Linked DNA regions of Callithrix jacchus. The protein of the gene in region 1 purifies or fractionates together with the protein of each later gene. This does not show direct contact. Links are inferred from orthologs where the notes say so. Each region holds a gene or a part of one and is shown on either strand. Other genes may lie near its edges.

Region 1 (6,465 bases):
TCCCACAAAGAACCACAGGGCTGGCAAAGAGATCTCCCAGGCAGTGGATGTCCAGCCAGTGTTCAATGAATCGGACCCAAAAAGAACATCCCACAGCAAATAAAGGCAGCAAGGAGAGGAGGGCCCAGGCTCTGGGCAGCATTGTGTGCTGTGCCCTGGGCACGCAGGGTCTCCTGTGAGCACCACAAAGGACACCCGTGCACAGCTGGCAACACTGGGCTGGAGGAGAGCATAGGGGCTGCACTGGCTGGACTCCGGGGAGGAGTCCTCCATCCCTGTGCCTGGGCACACCTCTCACAGCCTGGGAAAAGCCTGGCTTCACTGATGGCACCAGAGGGAAGAGCCAAGTCTACAAGTGAAATGACAGTCACATTCCTAATCAACCACCTAGCTAGGACTTCAGTGGTGTAAAGGAACACCCATGAACCAAGGCCAGGCACCTGTCTGGCACTGGACAACCACAGAACTCCCCTACCTCTTTCCCTTGTTAAACACAAGTTCTCATCTCTGCCACATACATCTTAAGCGTGCCAGGTGGCACTGAGGTCACAAATAGGGGTGGCATTGGGGGAGCTAATCTTGACTGCTGCTCAGTGCCCCTCAGCCCATGAACACACAGGCCTACTCTGCTGGAACCTGCTCTCACTCACTCACAGAACGTGCACTTAACAGTGAATGGAAGGCTGGGTGCGTGGCTCATGCCTGTAATCCCAGTACTTTGAGAAGCCAAGGCAGGTGAATCACCTGAGGTCAGGAGTTCAAGACCAGTCTAGCCAACATAGTGAAACCCCGCCTCTACTGAGAACACAAAAATTAGCAGGTCATGGTGGCCAGTCCCAGCAGGAGAATCGCTTGAATCTGGGAGGCAGAAGTTGCAGTGAGCCAAAATTGCGCCACTGCACTCTAGCCTGGGCAACGAGCAAAAACTCCCAAAAAAAAAAAAAAGTAAATGCACGTTTGTCTACAGAATAAGCCACTACAGAAGCGTAGCTTATGTGAAGACATGAAGGTCAGCGTCATTTTGATAAAGTACCAACATTACCAAATGCCCAGAGCAAGCCCCCAGAAGGACTTCCTGTAGCTGAGAGATGGAGGAAAATCTTAAAACTTCTGTTTTGCCCAGAGGCGCCTATTAAACATAGCCCCTGAGAGCCTTTGACGGGAAACTTACGATTTAATGATGTTTCCCAGTGTGTGGTCTTCTTTGTTGATGGTGAACAAACAGGCATTGGGTACCTTGGTGTCCTTGTTAATGGTGATCCTAGGAAGACACAGAGGCCACAGATGAGGGACAGGGGCTCCCCTCCGCCCACCCCAAGTCTAAACCCTGCCTCCTTCGGACCAGGTGCAGTGGTTCATGTCTGTAATCCCCACCCTTTGGGAGGCTGAGGTAGATGGATGACCTGAAGTCAGGAGTTCCAGACCAGCCTGGCCAACATGGTGAAACTTTGTCTACTAAAAATAAAACCCAAACTGGGTGTGGTGGTCCATGCTTGTGTTCTCAGCTACTTGGGAGGCTGAGGCAGGAGAATCACTTGAACCTGGGAGGAGGTTGAAGTGAGCCAAGATTGCGCCACTGCACTCCAGCCTAGGCAACAGAGCAAGACTGTCTCAAAAAAATAAAAATGAAAAGCTCTGCCTCCTCCTGAAGACCTTTCTCAATCTCTTCCTCCCATAAAGACCTCTCCAGCCTGATTCCCTACCCCAGGTCTGTGGAACCTTGGCCCTTCTCGGAGTTCCTCCTCTTGTCTTTCCTCTCCCTCTCTTTTAGAAGAGATGAGGTTTTGCTTTGTCGTCCTGGTTGGTCTTGAACTTGCCTCAAGTGATCCCTCCTGCTGCCCAGGCTGGAGTGCAGTGGTGTGATCACAGCTCACTGTAGCCTCCAGCCTTAGCCTCCTGAGTAGCTGGGACCACAGGCGCATGCCACCATGCCTAGCCTGCTCCTTTTTTTCTTTTGAGATGGAGTCTTGCTCTGTTGCCCAGGCTGGAGTGTAGTGGCACAATCTCGACTCACTTCAACCTCTGCCTCCCCAGTTCAAGTAATTCTGCCTCAGCCTCCTGAGCAGCTGGGGTTACAGGCGTGTGCCACCATGCTCGGCTTTTTTTTTTTTTTTTTTGCATTTTTAGCAGAGACGGGATTTCACCATGTTGGCCAGGCTGGTCTTGAACGCCTGACCTCGTGATCCAACTGCCTGAGCCTCCCAAAGTGCTGGGATTACAGGCGTGAGCCACTGTGCCTGACTGCCCCTTTTTTCTAAGGTAGTTTCTCCATGTTGACACCACAGACGTTTTAGGCTGCATGATTCTTTCCTGTGGGGTGCTATCTTGCTGGACAGCAGCAGCACCCTGACCTCTATCCAGTAGATTCCAGTCATAACCCCCTTTGACACCATAAATGTCCCCAATTATTGCCAAATGGTCCCCAGCTGAGAGTCTGCTCTAAAATGAGGCCAAGCCCGGTGCACTGGCTCACACCTGTAATCCCAGCACTTTGGGAGGCAGAGACGGGCAGATCACCTGAGGTTGGGAGTTTGAGACCAGCCTGACCAACATGGAGAAACCCGGTCTCTACTAAAAACACACAATTAGCCGGATGTGATGGTGCATGCCTGTAATCCCAGCTATTCAGGAGGCTGAGGCAGGAAAATCACTTGAACCTGGGACATGGAGGTGGAGGTTGCCGTGAGATCACACCATTGCACTCCAGCCTGGGTGGACAGAGTGAGACTGTCCAAAAAAAAAAAAAAAGGCCAAACTGGCCGGCAAGGGCCAGACCAAGACCTCTGCACGCCAACCTGGGAACAGTAAGAGCCAGTGGTTATGAGGTCTTCCAGGTGCCGAGCTTTAGACCAAGTGCTTGACACAAATTACCTCATCCAATTCTTTTTGAGACAAGATCTCACTCTGTCGCCCAGGCTGGAGTGCAGTGATGCGATCACAGCTCACTGGAGCCTGCAACTCCTGTGCTCAAGCCAGCCTCCCAAAGTGATGGGATTAAACGCGTGAGCCAGCGCACCTGGCCAAATCCCATGTTTAAGAACAGTAATAGACCGGAGGCCGTCACTCACGCCTGTAATGCCTGCACTCTGGGAGGCCGAGGCAGGAGCATCAGCTGAGATTGGGAGTTCGAGACCACACAGGCTAATATAGAGAAACCGCGTCTCTACCAAAAATAAGAAATTAGCCGGGCGTGGTGGCGCATGCTTGTAATTCCAGCTACTCAGGAAGCTGAGGCAGGAGAATTGCTTGCACCTGGGAGGTGGAGGTTGCAGTGAGCCGAAATCGCGCCATTGCACTCCAGCCTGGGCAACAGGAGCAAAACTCCGTTTCGAAAAAAATGAAAAGTAACAAATCCATTTTCCAGAAAAGGAAACAGGGCCTCCAAAAGATCACGGCACTCGTACAGATACAGTCGCTAAGTGGGGGACCCAGGGGCCAAGCCCAAGCTGTCTCTCCCGGGGACTCCTTCAACCAGCAGGCAGCAAGAAGCCACTGCGGCTTTTACACAGGCCGTTGGCAAATCAAAGGACACGGGGGATGGAGGCGGCGGGCGGAAGACAAGAGAGGAGGCTGCCACGTCCCAGAGGAAGAGGGCTATGGAGAGCCAGACACTCTGGGTTCGAATACAAGCCCCGCCACCTCCTCCGTGTCTGGGGCAACTTGCTCCTCCGAGCCTCAGTGTCCTCATCTGCCAAATGGACACACTCGCCACTGCCTCCCGGAACTGGCTTAAATTTGGCCGACACAGGCCGTGCGGACTATCAGGCAAAAGCTGCTTCCCTCCCGGAGCAAGACATGGGCAGGAAACGCCCCCGGAATGCGACAGTCGCAGCCCCGCAAACCTCGGCTCCTCCCAGCTGGCGTCACTTACTTCTTCTCGCCTTCGAAGAGCAAGAACGACTCGAAGGCTGGAGGGGCGTTCATACTCCTGCCGCCGCCGCCGCCGCCGCCGCCGCCGCCGCCACCACTGCCGCGTCCAGACCCTAAGCGTCCGCTGCCGCCGCCTCCGAAGCCCTAGTAAGAGGCTTCTTCCGGATTACTCTGGCGGGTCAAACTAGCGTAGGGACCAGCTCATCGCCCCCTATTGGGCTGGAGGATCTTGCGCAGGAGCGAGAAAAGCCCGAGCGAGGCCAGTACCTCTGCGCCTGCGTCAGTATGGAAGCCCCACCCCCCCAACTCCCACCCCCTCACCCCCTCGTGGCTTTCAACGTGGGCGCTTTTTGGCGCATGCTCAGAGCGCCGGGAGGGCTGCTCTGCCCCTCCAGAGATCTCCTAATCCTGACTGAGTGGAAACCCCAAGCTGTGCCTCTCTGCTCCCCACGACCCTTGATCTCGCTTTGCAACCGTGCACCCCCTTGGAGTGCACAGCAGGAGGCCCCTGAATAGAGAGAATAGAGCTAAGGGGAATGGGCAGCTGCGGCTGGCAGCCGTGAGGGGAGCTGAGGAAGGTCTCGTGGCCAGAGGCAGATCTGTGCTAAGCCCCCTGCCGAGGCTGCCTACACCGACTGCTGTGAGACCCCTGGCTGGGATGCCACTGGCTTGTTAGAAGGGAGGGACAGTTGGGTGACGGATGGGGAAGGAGGCGGGTGTATACAGCAGTGAGAGGGAGCTCGGAGGGTTATGTAAATCTTTTTATATATTATTATCATTTAGAGACAGTGGCTCACTCTGTCGCCCAGGCTGGAGTGCAGTGGTGCCATCATAGCTCAATGCAGCCTCCAACTCCCGGGCTCCGGAGATCCACTTCAGCCTTTCAAGTAGCTAGGACTTGCAGGCACGTGCCATCACACCTAGCTAGTTTTCTTTTAAGAGTTGGGGTCTTGCTGTGTTGCCCAGGCTGGTCTTGAACTCCTGGCTTCCAGCAATTCTCTCATCTCAGCCTCCCAAAGGGCTAAGATTGAGCCACTGCACTTGGTGGATAAGTCTATCTTACCTTTTGGTTTGGCTGTTTTGCAGACTACAGTTTAGCATAAAGGCCCTCCTTGAGACGGAGTCTTACTCTGTCGCCCAGGCTGGAGTGCAGTGGTGTGATATCAGCTCTGTCGCCCAGGCTGGAGTGCAGTGGTGTGATACCAGCTCTGTCGCCCAGGCTGGAGTGCAGTGGTGTGATATCAGCTCTGTCTTCAGGCTGGAGTGCAGTGGTGTGATATCAGCTCTGTCGCCCAGGCTGGAGTGCAGTGGTGTGATATCAGCTCTGTCGCCCAGGCTGGAGTGCAGTGGTGTGATACCAGCTCTGTCGCCCAGGCTGGAGTGCAGTGGTGTGATACCAGCTCTGTCACCCAGGCTGGAGTGCAGTGGTGTGACACCAGCTCTGTCGCCCAGGCTGCAGTGCAGTGTCGACATCATAGCTCACTACAGCCTCAAGCTCCTGGGCTCAATCCCACCACGGTGGGAGGCTGAGGCAGGCCTCCCACGAGGTCAAGTCCTCCTGCCTCAGCCTCCCCAATAGCTAAGACCACAGGCAGACACCACAGCACCCAGTTATTTATTTATTTTTTTTTTACTTTTTGTAGAGATGGGGGGGGGGGGGTCCAACTTTGTTGCCCAAGCTGGTCTCAAACCCCTGGCCTCAAGTGATCTTCTCACCTTGGCCTCCCAAAGTGCTGGGATTATAGGCATGAGCTCCACCCCAGCCACACACGCCATGCTGATTTGTTACACGTTGGCTGTAGTTGCTTTTGTGCTACGTGGCAGAGTGGTTGTGACTCAGAGCTGCATGCCTGGTCCTTTACAGAAAACGTTTGCTGATCCTAATCTCAGGGATTGTGGCTGTGTTGACTTTCCTGCTTGTTTGATTACAGCCCAGACACTGAAGTTACTTATTAACTTGCAGTTTCTATCCCATAGAAAAGAAAACTTCATTAACTGGTTCGTATCTAACATCACAATCTTTGTCTGGGTTGCTTCTCTTAAAATGCTTACTGGCCAGGCACAGTGGCTCATATCTGCAGTCCTAGCTCTTTGGGAGGCTGAGGAGGGAGGATTGCTTGAGCCCAGGAGTTTGACACTAGCCTGGGCAATAGAGCGAGATCTTGTCTCTACTACAAATTTTAAAAATCAGCTGCGCATAGTAGTATGTGCCTGTAGTTCTGTTTACTTAGAAGGCTGAAGCAATAGGATCTCTTGAGCCCAGGACGTCGAGGCTGCAGTGAGCTATGATTGCACCACTGCACTCCAGTCTGGGTGGCAGAATGAGACCCTGTCTCAAAAAACAAAAAAACAAAAAAAAACTTACAAATACATGAAATACATGTACCCAGATTCTCAGAATCATACATGATTCAGAGTTCCCGAACACTTCTGAACTGATGTGTAATTGATCTTTGATGGGTGTTCATTCTATATATGAATCATTACTATTTTTCTTTGTATGTATTTGAAGTTATACTTTGACAAGGCTTTGTGTGGAGGCGGTTGCTGCCAATCTGTTCAGATTTCCAAAGAGGTTGAGAGAAGCAGGCACTG
Region 2 (5,774 bases), on another chromosome or scaffold:
AATTATATTTTTCTTTCAAGCTCCCTTCATGGGAGATAGAGCTCCTCCCAGCCTCCAGTTTTATTCAACGAATTTGGGTCTAGTCCTGTTAACTCCTACAGAGCACTGGGAGCTCCTGTTACCCTAAAGAATACTAATTTCTGGCAATCCCATGTCTGCTTCTAGACCAGGATTCAGCAGAAGCCAGATTCTGTCTTACATGTGAAGTTATGTGTACAATTTCCAGCCCATGAAAATACATTCACCTTGTTTCAAGAGTATGGTTATGTCTTCATTTTCTCATTTTACACTTTATCTGTCCCCCCTACATGTTTGAAACATAGAAGGGGGAAACTTAAAGACTCAATGCCCACTTAATTAAAAAAAAAAGTCTTTATGGAATTCATCTGATGCTTAAAGCAATGCCATACTGTACCAATGTAAGAGGACATGAAGTATTAAGATAATGATTCTAACTTACCTTACTTTTCCATAGGACTACAAAATTCTATATAGTTACAGACAAATGTATGAATACATATTTATCACTCTAACACAAGTTTTTATATTTAAAAACAAAAATAGTTAAGGTGGCAGTGTTTATGCCCAAGAATGAAAATTTTTGTGTATTTAAATCATATATGGTCCGGATGCAGTGGCTCATGCCTGTAATCTCAGAACTTTGGGAGGCCAAGGTGGGAGAATTGCTTGAGGCCAGGAATCTGAGATCAGCCTGGCCAACATGGTGAAATCCCATCTCTACTAAAAATACAAAAATTAGCCAGGCATGGTGGCACACACTTGTGATCCCAGATACTCAGGAGGCCAAGGCAAGAGAATCACTTGAACCTGGGAGGCAGAGGCTGCAGTCAGCTGAGATCATGCCATTGCACTCCAGCCTGGGAGACAGAGTGAAACTCCATCTCAAAAAATATATATCCATAACAAAATAGGCATGTCATATTTTATTTTAAAAAGAGTCTGGGCCAGGCACGGTGGCTCACGCCTATAATCCCAGCACTTTGGGAGGCAGAGGAGGGTGGATCACAAGGTCAAGAGATCAAGACCATCCTGGCCAACATGGTGAAACCGTCTCCACTAAAAAAAAAAATACAAAAATTAGGTGGGTGTGGTAGTGCATGCCTGTAGTCCCAGCTACTCAGGAGGCTGAGGTGGGAGAATCATTTGAACCTGGAGGCAGAGGCTGCGATGAGCTGAGATCGTGCCACTGCCCTCCAGCCTGGTGACAGAACAAGATTCCGTCTCAAAAAAAAAAAAAAAAAAAAAGAAACAATCTGTTTAAATAGCTGAAATCTCACCACATGTAACCATACTTAGCTACTAAAAATCCTCGTTCTATGCAAAATATGATTTCTATACAAAATATACAATATACAACATATTACATTTAAAATAATTAATTTGTTGAGCAAATAAGAGATATGCATGTGGCTTTCTTGTATCCAAAAGCATAATAAAAAAATCAATTTACAGAAGTGAAACGAAATTAATAAAGTTTGGAGGCGTAAAGTAAAGTAAAAGTTTCTAACTAGTTTAACAGGGTAAAACTTCTACCTGTGGTGGTTCACTTGGAGATCCCAGAGAGGAACAGTTTTCATTTTCATCCACCTTTATCTGTTCGTAAGTTCGCTTCCTAGGCTTCTTATCGCCATCTGAAATGAAAGAACATTTAAGTTTGAATGAAAGAATACATTTTAATGAAGAGATCAAGATAAGAGATTAGGATTCTACACTTACACAGAGCTTGTTTAAGTTGTTCTAATACATCATTTTCATAAACAGACCTTTCCTCCCAAATAGACAACACTCTTCCAAGGTGTTTCTTACAACTTTCATCAGTTTCACTAAAGAAAAAGAAAAATATTAACAGTAAAAATGCATAGTGCTATTGAAAAGGTAATGGTAACTTTAAATACAATCAGACATTAATTCCCTGAAGAAAACTGTCCAAATGTCTACTTAGCACCACTATTGTGGCCAGCAGTTCAAGAGTTAGGTCATCAAGACACACTGCTTGCTTCCAGTAAACATTTTATGAACATATTATTAAACAACCAAAAAAAGTTTAGGCTATAAAAGTTTTAGTACAGGCTACTAGGGATTTCCTAACCTAATGGGGGCTGGACGTGAGGCTACAGAAGACTTCTAATAGGCAATTTTTAAATTTATTCCACAAATATTTGTTGATCTAGTTACTATCTTTGATATGGAGATGTAAATGCAGCTTATGGCAGCTGTTATTTATAAGTATCACCAAAGAGAACAAAGTGCTTAAGACAGACCTGGCCCAGTTTAAGAGATATCTGGAAGAGTATTTAAGGAAATGATATTTAATTTGAGATCTAAAGACTGGGCATATGGGGAAATGAAAAACAGACTACTCCCAACCGTTTCCTACCTCATTCATCCCTATCATTGTAGACTGAAACACTATTATCTCTTGCTTGGATTCTTCTAAAGTCTTGTCATGGATCTCCCAGTCTCTTCTTTTACTCTGTTCTGTACAAAGCATCCTAATAATATAAATCAGATTATACAGCTCTCGAGTCTCCAAGAGCTACCAATCATATCAAGAATAAAATCAAAGTCCTTACTCTGGGCCATAAGGCCCACATGCTCTGCCTCCTGGCAATCCCTCAGTACACACTACCTAATACCTTTTTCCGTACAAATCTTCTTGCTAAGGTCCTCAAACATGCCCAGGCACATAGCAATCTCATTTTTCAGCCACATATTCTGCCTAGAATCCTTTCCACTTAGTCAAATGGCTCATTTCATCCCTTCCATTAAGTCTTTGTTCAAAAGCCACCTTCCCCAAATAGCTGTTCTTTATCTCATCACATAACTGAGCACCCTCATACCATCTAGTTCCTTCCCTGCTTTGTATTTCTTGCTAGCATTTGTCATCTGACATGATACTATATATGCATTCACTTGTCTATGTACTTACTACCTTTGTCATCCACTGAAATTTAGGCTCCAGCAGAAGAGAACTTTGTCTTGTTCACTATTACTCAGGGTTTTGCATATAGCAGGCAGCCAACAAATATTTTATTGAATTCTAGGGAGGGGCAACATATATAGAAGCCTTATGGCAGAAAGAACTAAAAAAGGTTAATTTAGTTTAAACGGTAAACTACAGACTGTGGGGAATAAATGTGAGACAGGAGTCTGGGGAGATAGGCAGTGCCACAAAGGAACATCTTAAGTCTTGCTCAGGACTTTAGACTTCATCTCTAAAACAAATGGGAACCACTCAAAGGCAAGGAAGTATGACCAGCTCTGCAACTCTGTCTAGTTTTCTAAAGAAATTAAACAGTACTAAAGGCTATTGCAATTAATCCAAAAGACATTATGATAACTAAAAGGGAAAGAAATCCAAAGAATTGAGTCAATGTGTATCATACAAGATACGTGGAGTAAAAGAGAAAGAAGAGGTTGAAAATAACGGAATTTCTTGCATAGGCATCTGGATAGATAGAGTTGCCATTCATAGAGTAAAACCTGGGGGAGAAGCAAGTATGGCAGGAAGCAAAGACATAAGGAGTTCATATTGGACACAGTGAGTCTGAGATGTCTGAGTTGCATACAAGTAAAAATGTCAAAAGGCAGTTGGGCACATAGCTTTGGAACAACAACAAAAAATCTGGACTGGAGCATAAAACTATAAATCATTAAAGCATGGAGAATAACCAAATACATGCAGGGTACAAAACCACCCAGAGGGCAGGTAAAGAATAAACAGGCCGACGTGGTGCCTCATGAGGTCAGGAGTTCAAGATCAGCCTGGCCAAGATGATGAAAACCTGTCTCTACTAGAAACACAAAAATTAGCTAGGTGCAGTGGCAGGCACCTGTAATCCCAGCTACTCAGGAGGTCAAGGTAGGAGAATTGCTTGAACCCGGGCAGCAGAGGTTGCAGTGAGCTGAGATTGCACCACTGCACTCCAGCCTGGGCAGAGTGAGACTCTGTCTCAAAAAAAGTAAAAGAAAGAAAAATAGAAAAAGTACTAGTGTATATGGAAATATTAGTTACAAGACTGATAGCTTTATAAACACACAAATTTTTAATTCAATACCTTCATTCATTTTTAATGAAGTTCATTCCAATATAGCAGTTGATTCTGATCTCTTAAAGGAAAGCTATAATTCAAGTACACCAAATGCCCACCTTAGCAACAGTTCAAAAAATATTTTTCCTTCATAGAAGGCATTTAATAGATTTACAAATTTAGAGGGAAGCCTTTTCAAATAAAAGTATCAAAGAACTATATTCCCTGCTCTTTATTTTAATAGCTTAAGGCAAATTAAGCAAAAGGTCATATGGTACATTTAAAACAGATTACTTAACACCCAAAACAATGATCATACCTTGAAACATGCTTAAAAGCCTCCACTATAACTGGTGCAAAATCTTTTGTAAACTCCGGCCCCTTCCTTTTGCTGTTCTGTATGACATCATTGGCTAGGTAGAGAAAAGTAAGCTTCCTGTTTGGTTTGGCTGAAAAATAAGAAAAAGTTAAAAATCTACTTAAAACATCTTCGCTTGGACAAATTTTCTCAATAACTGAATTAAGCATTTTGAGAACTAAAATAACCCTACTGAACTTCATGCATCAAGTTCAACCCTATTCTCTCATTTTATTACCAAACTAACCAAAGTCACTGCTGCTAAACTCACCAGAAAGACTAATGTCTATGTATAAATGCATCTTGTTTACTCTATCCTGTATTAAATTTCAGTAAAACTATTACAAACTATATGAAATATAGTCATTTAAAATAAAATGATGATTGGTCACGTTATTAAGATGGCACCCTAAATCCTACATTGAATTTAGGACTGTTTTAATAGCCATGTTAATTCAAAATCATTATTAAGCTGTTGTGAAACAAAAGAGCATGAAATGTAAAACAGGTTGCAAGAGATGTCCCCTTAATCAATTACATATTTTTTGTTTGTGCAATAAATATTTGCCAAGCTAACAGATTAACTGTTAGGAAGAGTAAATGGGCACAATTTGGATGTTTCCTTCTTTAGATTACATGGTCATTAACTTTAAACTGAATTCATTGTGACAAAATTATTCCGCTACTCACTATGTTCTGTGGGTGTAGTAATTTCTCTAATTAAGTGGACAAGATTTCGAGGTATATTTTTACTGGTTACAATGTTCAACAGCATAGTAGTACTGAATATGACTCAAGATTATACATAAGGAAAACAGTGTTGAATATAATCTTTTATACTATTCTTATATTTTACTAGAATTAAACTTGAATCACTCAGTGTAGTACAATTACATTCAGAAGCATCATACCTTGTGGCATCCATATTACAATGGTGTAGGAAACTTATGGTCAGAACCAATTATGCAGTATCATATTAATGTCGGCTATCTTAATGGATTTAAGACAAAAATCTTGGTCAGGCTACATGTGGTCCTCTGGATATTAAGTATTCATTTTATAAACTTAAGCATTCAACATATTAGAGTTACCTCTCAGTTCACATCATTCTTGAGGGGGCAACTAGAAACTCAACCAACCCATATACTAAGTCACAACTGATCAAACATTACAAACCTGTTCCGTGCCACTGTACATTTAACCTGGTTTGTCTGTTTAAATTGCTGTCTACCAGTTTTCACACTTTTGAAAGTTCCTTGCAAGGAATAAAGATAAGAGATGGCAATAACAGAGAACAACTTCTGGTTTTGAGGCTCCTTGTCTGGTTAGATAAACCACAGAGTATAACCGGTTAAGATGTCAGG

The links. The genes of interacting proteins can lie anywhere in the genome.
Region 2: the proteins of POLR2J (region 1) and RPRD1A purify together in Homo sapiens (affinity purification with mass spectrometry; 3 studies listed by BioGRID and IntAct, with this or other methods). This does not show direct contact. The link is inferred for Callithrix jacchus from reciprocal best matches to the Homo sapiens genes POLR2J and RPRD1A.

What each region holds. Positions count from the first base shown.
Region 1 is NC_133503.1:11,371,188-11,377,652, reverse strand, and holds the start of POLR2J (DNA-directed RNA polymerase II subunit RPB11-a), read right to left. Parts: upstream 3,997-6,465; 5' UTR 3,925-3,996; coding exon 3,872-3,924; intron 1,262-3,871; coding exon 1,172-1,261; intron 1-1,171. UniProt on the Homo sapiens protein: Core component of RNA polymerase II (Pol II), a DNA-dependent RNA polymerase which synthesizes mRNA precursors and many functional non-coding RNAs using the four ribonucleoside triphosphates as substrates.
Region 2 is NC_133514.1:79,115,479-79,121,252, forward strand, and holds part of RPRD1A (regulation of nuclear pre-mRNA domain-containing protein 1A), read right to left. Parts: intron 4,502-5,774; coding exon 4,372-4,501; intron 1,845-4,371; coding exon 1,738-1,844; intron 1,653-1,737; coding exon 1,555-1,652; intron 1-1,554. UniProt on the Homo sapiens protein: Interacts with phosphorylated C-terminal heptapeptide repeat domain (CTD) of the largest RNA polymerase II subunit POLR2A, and participates in dephosphorylation of the CTD by RPAP2.